Arabidopsis thaliana: one gene and its partner. The protein of the gene in region 2 interacts with the protein of the main gene of each other region in a pairwise test. Each region holds a gene or a part of one and is shown on either strand. Other genes may lie near its edges.

Region 1 (4,485 bases), on a different chromosome or scaffold from region 2:
ATACCAAGATATAGAGGAAAACAATAAAACTAAGCTTTATTCCACATTGTCTGGTGATCTTTCATAAACAACATTGTATGATTTGATTACCAAAATAATCGGTTCTAGAAAAGTTTATGTCAATCTCTATCTAGTATATGAATCACCATACCCATATTTGTGCACTTAAATTATTACGTAACCAAGATATAGAAAAGTGTTGTGATTTCATATAACAAATGAAAATATAATAATCTATTTTGTTGTGTTTTGTATATATAATTATTATAAATTAAATTAATTATTAATATTGAAATATTCATGTATAACCCAGTCAGATATGGGATTATTTTTAATTTAAATTTTGTATAATACTGTTAAAAGATTCGAAATATAATCATAAACAAAAAATAAAATTGATTTTTTCTTGTCAACTTCCAATAAACACCATAGTAAACAAGAAATCACAGGACAAGGGAAATACAGAAACGGAGAACTCTTTTTAGTCAAAGAAAGCTAGGATTCGGACAAAATCATGTCCAAACACTTTGAAGGATGATCGATACAAAAAATTGTAAACTTGAATATGAAGTGTTGGTGTGAGAATACCCAGCTCGAATAATGTAAATAATCTTCTCAACGACAACAATTATGCATCCAGTGATGAACACTTTTTGAAAACGTGTTTCTCTCCATAGTTTCTACATTGATGATTCCTATATTACTAAAACTTAATAGAGATATGTGTAAATATTCTCAGAGATAAACAAAATATAACTATATATAACCTCTGAAACTCGAACAACCAAACAGAAATTATCATATCCTATCAATAATTATATATTAAGGTAGGCACACTGTGAAGGAAGTGTTGAACCAATAAAATTCCCATACAACTTTCCACCATCTCCTCCGATTCTCTTCCACATATACATACTTTATTGGAACCGTAATCTCTTTTACGAATTCCTTGAAAATAAAAATCTTCAAAAAAATAATAAAAATACCCTCTTATTTATCTCTATAGGTAGTAAAAAAATCCTCCAAAATTTTGCATGCAGAGCTCCTCATAGAATGCAATCTCTTTGATTCCTCTCAACAATGAATCTCCAATGCTCTTGACCGACCTTAGGGATGCTCATCGTATATAATATGATCTTCCACAAAAACAAATTAATAGAATTCCCCCAAGATGGGATCAATAAAATCCCAAATACTCCCCCAATTATGACTATATTCTTCTTCTCCTCCAAAAGGCCAAATGGTCGAAGATCCATCTCCAACCATATAACCCGGATCCAGACCCATAGAACATACCGGATCAACCAACGGCGGTGGATGAGTTATTGATAGACTCGAACCCACCGAACCAGCTAGAGAGTTCAAATCCTCCATCGAACTATTATTATTACACCCACTTCCTCCTTGTTCCTGCCCTAACGCCACCTCATGATGAAACGAAGTCGAATTAGTTACCGGAACATCAGTGAGCTCGATGTCAGAAATCTTGTTATTGTTAGTATTAGAATGAAGATTCTGATACTGTTGGTGTTGGAATTGTCCCATCTGGACCATCTGATTTTGTTGTTGTTGTTGTTGAGGGAAAAAACCATAACTAGGGCATAACATAGAGGTCCCACCATTAAGGAAGATGTTGTTGTTAAAAGGGATACCGTACGGACCAAAGTTGGCTCCTCCTCCTACGGTGGCGGCGGCGGGGCGAGGGAGGAGAGGTCTTAGGGTTTGAGTGGAGGAAGAGGAGGTGGAAGGAGAAGAAGCGGCGGAGACGGAGGAGGAAGAGGAAGAGACGGAGGAAGGAGACGAAGGGGTTAAGTTGAGCTGAGCACGTGACCCGTATAGGTAAACGGCAGCCCGGTCGTAGGCACGTGCGGCGTCTTCGGCGGTTGCGAAAGTACCAAGCCACTTGCGAGTGCGCTTACGTGGCTCTCGGATCTCGGCGACCCATTTGCCCCAGCTTCTTTGTCGAACGCCACGGTAACGGAACTTGGAGTTGTCCGGACCACCTTTGCCTTTGCGTTTGCGTTGAGCGGAGGAAGTTGATGAGTCGGTGGTGGAATCGGATTGAGGATTATTATGGGTTAGGGTTTGGTTATTATCTTCCAGATGGTTGTGTTGATGTTGGGAAGCTAAAGGGTCCATAGATGAAGAAGAAGAAGAAGAAGAAGAGGAAGAGGAAGTAGAGAGAGAAAGAGAGAGATTAAAGAAATTGAGAAAAATAGTGGAGAGGACGAATCAAGAAGGAAGGGAAACTGAAGAGTGTTTGAATGTCATCGTTGTGAATGGTCGATTAGGGCGGTGCTTCTTTTATTTATACTTACACTCTCTTCTCACTCACTTCTTTTTTTCTTTTCTTTTTACTTACCCGTTTGTTTTCTACCAAAGAAGAAATTTGTGTTGTCATAAGTTACTTGTTACACATTGGAATGTAATCAAGGATATTATAAAAACATTTAATTGCTTTCTTTCTTTTGGGTAACTATAGCAAATCATGAGCGATATATAACAATATCTTGAAGTTGGTTCTTTTCTTTGATTGGATGGGTAATTGTGAGAAATACTCGCATGTTGAAAACACTCCAAGGCATTCAGATTTCAGAGGATTCAACCAGAGAGAACTGAATCAAATTCACCAAGGTTAGGAATATTGCAACATATATAAGAGAAATAAGCGTGTTCAAAAATATATATTAAGAGAAATAAGAAACGAATAATCTAAGATGGAACAGAGATATCATTTTTGTTTGTTTTTCTAAGTACTTGTCAATTTAAATTGTAACAAAAACATAGCAAAAGATAGGCAATTTAAAAGATTAAGAAGATCAAGTGAATAAAACAGTAGACAAAGATAACAAAGAAAATGATTTATGAGTTCAAGAATTAAAAGCATCGTTTAAAGTTGGCAAGCAATGAAACTAGAATAAATCATTACATAACGGCTAACGGGGGCTGATTAGCCATAAATTGTAGAGAATGAAACACTAATCAATGAATAATTACAAAGCGTGGCATGAATTACCCAATTTTGTTCAACTCTCTTGCAATTTAAGTGGTTAACAAGCATTAACAGATAAGTATACTAAAAAGGATCAAGGTAATTAATCTACCATTACCAACAACCCTAGTAAAAGATCTAAATGCATTTTTAATAGTGATCTTTATATTTTCCTCTATTTATAGAGGTGACTCTATTTTAAAGGCATTATGTTCAAATGGTCACCTCTAAAATAGAGTTTTCTCTATAATAGAGGAAGAAATAGAAATATTTACTTTTTGTCTCTATAAATAGAGATCTCTACAATTCATCTCTAATTTTTCTTCTATTTTTGAGGAAACTCTATTTTAGAGGTGACCATTGGAGCACAATGCTTCTAAAATAGAGGCACCTCTAAAATAGAGAAAATTATAGAGGTGACCATTGGAGATGGTCTAACCATATTCGCCCCTAATTTGGTTTTAATCTAACTTTTAGTGTTGAACTTAACCGAAGCTTCTATACTTGATGATTATGATCTTAGAGAAAAATTTAAGCTGTTGGGAAATCACCTTATGATACTATTTTTTTGATGTTTTATCTTTATACGTAAAATAAAATTGTAAACATAGATATAATTAAGGGATCGGAGGAAAAACATCTGGTACAACACGTATCATATTTTTGGACATAAGTAAAAACTAGAATCATATTTCTGGAGTAGTACTTGTTAAATTTTGGAGAAGAAAAATAAGTTGATTTGCGCACTCGGAGAGTGTTGCAGATCCATTGCCTGCTGCAGCCACTGGAGGGACAGAAATACAGATGCAGAGAGACACAGTAATTATTTTTCTGCTTTCATTACATAGATATATGTGTTCATTTAGTCCACTTAACACCATTCTTGGAAGACGACTTGGCTTCAGTCAAATACTTCGTCCGATAGATTTAGATTTTGGATACTACACCTTTTATTAATCTTAAAAAAGAATTATGTAGAAATTTAAAATACTCACATGTCAATGGATAAATAAATAAATATATTAAAAAGAGGAGTTATAGTGTAGATATTTATGTACGCTTCTTCTTTCTTTTTTTGTCATCATTTATGTATGCTTCGACTTTAAGAAATATTAAAAACAAAATATAACTGACATTTTTTATAAGAAAAGGAATTTTGAAAACAGAGAGAAGAGAAGAGAGTTTATTTTTTTGGTCGCCTAGAAAGACTAATCTACCGTATAGATTATGATGTTTGACCCACAAATATAACAAATGGAAGACCATTAACGTTTAGACTTTTTTCGAAATAAAAACTTGACTTCTTAGATCTTATACCATTGAAATTAAGAGACAAATTTTCTTAATATTCTTTTACTAAAAGTAAAAATAAATAAAATAAGAATTTGTTGAATTATCTATTGTTCTTATGAATGGTAGCATATACATGACTCCTTTTAATCTATAAAACATAACTCTTAGAACTATCGTCATAATAACAAGTTTACTTAGAA
Region 2 (6,757 bases):
GACTTTGTTACAAGCCATTATCAATATGTCCGAATTAAAATAAAAAAGAGGAACTTTAGATTACAGATCTGAAAAATTTGGGATCTAGCTCGATTTTTTAAACAAGGGTGTTACAAGATTTCATAAATACATATAGAAGAGATCAAATTACATACATAGTGTGACTTACAATGAAGGGGCTACACAAATTTTAACCCTTTCCGAGAAATCTATAAACATTAGGGTTCTTACAAAATCGGAAAAGAAACAAACTAGATCTACGAGGAAAGTTACAGTTCAACGAGAGAGTAAGAACATCGAATTGAATAGAATTGAATTGATTGCCTCGTGAAATTGAGGATCGGAAAGAAAAAGACAGAGAGAAAAAACTACGCTTGCTTACTTTGACTACTTGTTGCTCGACCTTCTCCGTATACGGAAGTTGAGAATCCGACAAACTCCGGAATTGTTTGAACGCCCAGAAACAGAGCTTTAGCGAAAGAGTTTTTGATGAGATCGGAGGAAGAGAGTCGTATTCGTCGAGACTCGGGATGTTCTCTTTCTTATCCGATAGAAGAAGAAAAAATGAAAGAAGAGCTTCACCGTGATGTCAACAGTTTGTCTTAACAAACTTTTTTCTTTTACATGTTTTTTTAGTGCGTTTATACAACAAGCTATAAATGTAATAATGTATTTTGTAGAACATATGAAAGATATATATATATATTTTTTTTTCCCATGAAAGTTTTTTCCTTTATTATTAACAACAGAATATCTTACATTACTCCAAAACCAAAGAGTAATGAAAGATATTTGTTTTGAGTAATTTAAGAAAATGATTTTGTGTATTTTACCCAAAAGAAGGTTTATCTATTCATGTCTAATTTTAAATATTATTAACTAATTTATAAAAAATAAAACACATCATAAAGTAGACAAAACTTAATTATCATGTGTTTCATCTAGAACTTAAGCTCTTGAGTGGAATAAAAGCTTATAAAAAATGATAACTTGACAATTAGACGATTGATAATCCGGAACTTTTCTGTGGAATTTAATGCTTGAGTTAACAGAAAATAATATGAAAAAAAAATCAAACTTCTACATACTTTTTTTCTTTAATTTGTCTGAATAATAATATGACTTCTACATCAAGCCTAGCTTACACTGTGTGTACTCAAGAACCCTAAAGTCAGTAATAGAAATGGAGTAAAGCAGACAAACATTCACAGAATCTGCTGGTGAATTATTTATGAAGCAGCTTCAATACATTCCCTTGAACACCGGATTCGTGCGGCATATGCTTGCTCCATATTCCTCATACTCCTCTTTCGTTCTGCAACTCTGCAACAACAAAAATACATCTTGTTTCAAAACACGATCAAGCCATGAGGTTTAGCTTCAAACTAGCGGATCTCTAAACTAGTTTGCATACCGCGAAAAACTCAGGAGTTGATGAAAGCACAGAGCCTCCAAACCAAACTGCAAACCTCTGGACAGGATGGCTCACGACATTAACCTCCACCGGTTGAGACTGTGGTTATAAATAAATATCACCTCAGATTAAGAAAACTGGTTATCACTTTTATTTTCCAGAATATCATACAATTTTCTTACCGTAATTTCACCACCAGTACGAGCGTTATTAGCAAGAACACGAGCATCAACAATCTTCTTGAGGTCCCTTTGTAACCTTCTTCCGAAATCTTTGAACATAGTTGAACCTCCGGACAACACTATATTCTGAAATGATTTCACAAATTCATCAGTATTGCGGATTGGAAATTATCTTAAAACTCTGACCAGTCTTTGGCGTTTCAAACCTTATATAAAGCTCTTCGTGTGTCAATTGGTGCAGACTGAATACATTTGTCTATCACAGCTGGTAAAGTAGTTGTGAAGTCATTGCTGTATATCTCTGGATTAAAGAACACCTGTAACACACAAAATCTCAACATTACTCATCGGTAATAGCAGAACAAAAACGCAAGAACAATAAAGGAAATTATGTTCCACTTTCCAGTTACTCTCTTGGTATAGAGATACAAAGGAGATTAGCTTCCTATGGGTCCAGTAGTGACAGCTGAATTCTAACTAGATAAGAATTAGTTCCAGACTTCCAGTTAACATAATGGACTAAGTAATTACCTAATTTGAGTTTCTGAGAGAGCATAGTTTTATATCAGTACCGTTCAGTAATCAGAACAGAGTGCTGAAAATATCTTATAATCGATAACAAATCATGAACAGCTCACTGACATACTAGAAACTCATGCACCAGTAAAGATATCCAGTCTCCGATTCTGGTTATCTTATCAACTTACAACTTTTTATAACAGATAGATGGTAACAAACCTCGGGTCCAAGGAATCGTTCATATCCCACGTCGCAAGTGTATGGTGCACCAGTCTTTGGCTTTACACCTTTCCATTGTTTAATATACTTTGCTGGTTCTTTGTCATGTTTATTAAACTCCTGCAACCATATGAATGTTCTTTATCAATATTCCTATATTCTTTTCAAGCGATTTCAGCATACAGGCCAGTAATAAATTTTCAGAAGAGTATATATTAATATTATCTGACTTGAATATTCACCACTAAGGATTACCTTTACGATGTCAGAACAAGTGTAGCAGTACATTTCCTTCACTTTACGGGCTACATCGAATGAATCTTCTGGTGGTATATTCTCACCTCTTTCCTACAGTAAACATTGAAACGAGAAGTTACATGAAGTTAATACATTAATCTAAACCAGTAAACACCCTCTCTAAGCATATGAGCACAACATCTAAAACAAATAAACAGGAAGCCTAGCTACCATACTCAAAGCTTGGATTTAACACATTTAACTTCTGTGCCTTTAAAATCTTAAAATGTCACAGAGAAAGAATGAAAACCAACTACAAAAGAAGACCAAGACTAATATTAAGATAATAAATTAGTGCATACCCGCATGAGTTGCTGGATAAAGAGGGTGACATCTTTGCCAGCAATTGGAATCGATTTGATACAGCTCCCGATGACATAACCTTCTGCAACAGGTACAACATGAGTTGCCCCATCTCCAACATCTACTACAACCCCTGTCATCTCACACTAAGAAGAATTGTAAGTCAAATTAAGAGGCGAGGCGAGCATAACGAGACAGAACAAAAAACAAGAGAACATGTTTAATATTTGCTAAATCCCACAAAGCTCGGAAATTGTCTAATGTTGGTGAGGTTACACTAACCTATTCTTGAGACTCAGTCCCTAAAACCAAAACTGAATAAAGTATAATTATGACTTGATTTAAGGATTCACACAGTCTACAAGCAAACTTAAACAACTAATAGCCTAAATACATATCATTTCATCCCAGCAAACAACTTAAATACATATCATTTCATCACAGCAAGTAGGCTAATACATAGCATTTCATCACAGCAAACAACGTAAATACTTGGAGAAAAGAAATGTGTAACATACCTTTGATGTTGTGTAGCCAGCAGCAAGTGCAAGAACTGAATTAACAGCAATGTAAAGCCCAGGAACATTAAAAGTCTCAAACAAAATTTCTCCAGTATATTCTCGACTTTCAGGAGGAGTAAGAGGACTTTCAGTAAGAAGAAAATAATGATCCTCAGGATCACATCTCAAATAGTTAAATATACACTGCTGCCAATATCTCTCCATAGCATCCCAATCCTCAACTTGACCATGCTCAATTGGATAATGAAGATTATGAGTACTACTAGACCGCGATTTCGCAAGAGCTTCATCTCCAATATAGAAATCGAGATCCGCAGCAACTCCAGCGTTGTGCTGAGTTTGCCAAGTTGCCTTAGAAGAACTCTTGGATTGATTCAAAAACGACTCGTTTACTGCAACTACTGTTGGTAAGATAAAACATGGCTCTACATTACCCGCAAATCCCATTTTAGTATACCTGCAATACACACACACACAAGAATGAATCTAATTGCAGCATTTCATCGAACACGTTAAGCGCATAAACAAATCAAACCTATCATTGAACGTACCCAGTTCCATTGTCGATGACAATAGCGGGTCGAGAAGTCGGATCCATTAGAGAAACTAAGCCGGCGATCTCTAAAGCAAAATCAGCTCACCAGAGGGTGTGAATGGAGATCCAAAACAGTATCCGATTAGAGATCGATTATCTCTACCGTTTAAACACTAGAGAACCCTAGAATTTTCCGATCGAACCTAAGCTTGCTTCTTTCTCGCGCCTTCCGTCAACGGAAGTTGAGTTTCCGACAAGCTACCACGTAATTTCTCGTAGGCTATGAGAAACAATGTAGGGAGAGAGACAATGAGAGAAAATTGATTTTCCCGGAAAATCAGAGATTCACGTGAGATTCAGCGAAACGGTCAGATCATAGAGAAAGTCGCCGTCGTCGACTGGTACTTTATCGTGTGAGATTTTTCCGATAAAAAACAAATGAAGTTATGTACAACTACTGTTTTAAATTTTGGCTTCGTCCTTATGCGCTGTGGTTAATTTGGTTTTCCAACCCGACTCAATAACCAAGTCTGATTTAAAAACCAAACAAATTTCAATAACATTGAATTGAACCATACTGGGCTGATTATCATCATTACAAATTTTGTTTGGATATATAATATACTGTAATCGTCTTTGTAAACAAACCAAATTAACTAGGGACTTTGATAATATAAAAGGTAATCATAACACAAATAATGTTCTGATATATGATATATGATATATGCCTACTGTTAATTGGATTAACTCAATATTAAGATGTGTGTAGTGAAGACAGAAAAACAAACTTATGATAAGGACGCTTGAACCACCGAACAAAACCCATTAAAACTTGAGATTGAAGTCTTGTTACTACTTTACTACACAGTAGTTATCATGAACTATGTTCACACGGTCTCGAAAAATGGAATCATATCAGTCTCAGCCTAATCCTATTGAGTAGATAAGCTTAAATCATCATGCATGTCTCACTCATACCGGTCCGTTTAAATAACAAAATGAAAATGTAGCCCAATGTTTTAGCATTTAAGTGTAAAGTATGACCTGTTTTCAAGGTAATAAAATTTCAAAAGACCCAAACAAAATAATTTTTAGTATAAATATGCCCAAATATATAAATTTTTTTTTTTAACATGAATATAAGGTCCTGAATTTTTATTTTGCCCTAGAGCTTTAAAAATTGTTGGGCTAGGTTAGTCTCCCTTGCAACAGATTTCTTTTTCATATATATTTTTTATAGTCAATGTTAGGTGGTATGTGTAAAACTACAATGCGAATGAATATATATTTTTTTAAATGGCTTGATTGATCTCATTCATCTAACGAATTACTACATTCGTCCAACAAATTACTAAATTCGTTAACGCAGATATGTGATACTCAATTCACTAGTTTTTTCAATTTAATATTCGCCGTTTACGAATTTGTTGGCTATCGTTTTTAGATCAGTCACATTGCTGTAAGCATCTCTTGCCGACATGTTTTCCAGACGACTCATTGTTGATCTACCAACGTTCTTCAAAGCTCTAAAGAATGCACTATTTTTTTCACTTTAGCAAAAAATAAAAATAAAATATAAAGATGTAACCGTAAAGAAAAAATATTACAAAGCGCATTTTGTACAAATTTTATTGATAAAGGACGATCTAAATATATTTTTAAGATTCTACAAGTTTTTTTACTTATAAATACTCATCAATGTATTAGCAGTATTATATTCGAACTATCAAAACAAATATTTGTTTATTGTTTTAGTTTTTTTTTTTAAACAATGATTTTTTTTCATGATCATGTCAAGTTTATTGATTAAAGAGATTTGGGGGTAAATGAGGTGTAATCATAATGAAATATACAATACTCATGTTTTAATATTCAATATGGTTAAGATTGTTTAATTCAGATAAATTGAACTGTATCATCAAGAACAAAATGAATTTTTTAAAATTCAATTTGAAGGAAAAATCAAATACCACCTAACCGATTGCATTGAAAAGAGAAAAAAAACTATATTTGATATAAAAAACCGTTGACAAAACAACCATATTCGAAGCAAAATCAAATTTGTATCAAATTACTTTAGATGGAATAAAAATTGTGACTGGAATTTGAAATGGACTTTAACATTATAATTAAAACCGTTAATTGTAATTGATAATCAAATTTTAAGAATTAGGAGTTAGTAGGTGTAAGCAGTTGAGTATACCATCACCTCATGTTCTAATATCACATATATGGGTTATGAGTATTTGATTAGGATAAATTAAACTGATCAAACACGGAATTAAAAAAAATCAATTTGAAAGCGATTCAATTCTTAATATAGTTAATTAGTTTGATCTTCTTATTTTCTATATAGCCAAAACCCCCGAGAACGTCAAACATAAAACACAAAATAAACTCCTATGGTGAGTGCATGCAAACTTGGTTCTCGATTTGGTGAGAGTTTGGATCAACTCATTCGCCTTCATCCCATTATGTGGACTATCATTTCATCTACTGGGCTCGACATTGGGGAACTTCTTATTTGATCCTTATTGGGCTTATATGGGCTTTACAACTAAACATCTCTTGTAAAACACTTGGTTCCTTTTATTTTAATCCATAAAACAAAAAAACACACAACATATTTTGAATATGGAATTGAGTATTGGTACCGAATATTTTGGTTATTGAGACCAACAAAAAATAAAAAAGACAGTAACAATTTGGTAAATATTTTTATGTTTCAAAACAAATATGGAAATTCGATACATATAATCTATGCTCT

The links. The genes of interacting proteins can lie anywhere in the genome.
Region 1: the proteins of DIS1 (region 2) and ABI4 interact in a two-hybrid assay, tested with the Arabidopsis thaliana proteins (one study listed by BioGRID).

What each region holds. Positions count from the first base shown.
Region 1 is NC_003071.7:16,795,447-16,799,931, forward strand, and holds ABI4 (Integrase-type DNA-binding superfamily protein), read right to left. Parts: upstream 2,140-4,485; coding exon 1,153-2,139; 3' UTR 801-1,152; downstream 1-800.
Region 2 is NC_003070.9:4,492,690-4,499,446, reverse strand, and holds DIS1 (Actin-like ATPase superfamily protein), read right to left. Parts: upstream 4,524-6,757; 5' UTR 4,054-4,523; coding exon 4,007-4,053; intron 3,913-4,006; coding exon 3,453-3,912; intron 3,081-3,452; coding exon 2,934-3,080; intron 2,683-2,933; coding exon 2,590-2,682; intron 2,455-2,589; coding exon 2,335-2,454; intron 1,914-2,334; coding exon 1,803-1,913; intron 1,723-1,802; coding exon 1,597-1,722; intron 1,514-1,596; coding exon 1,415-1,513; intron 1,324-1,414; coding exon 1,243-1,323; 3' UTR 978-1,242; downstream 1-977.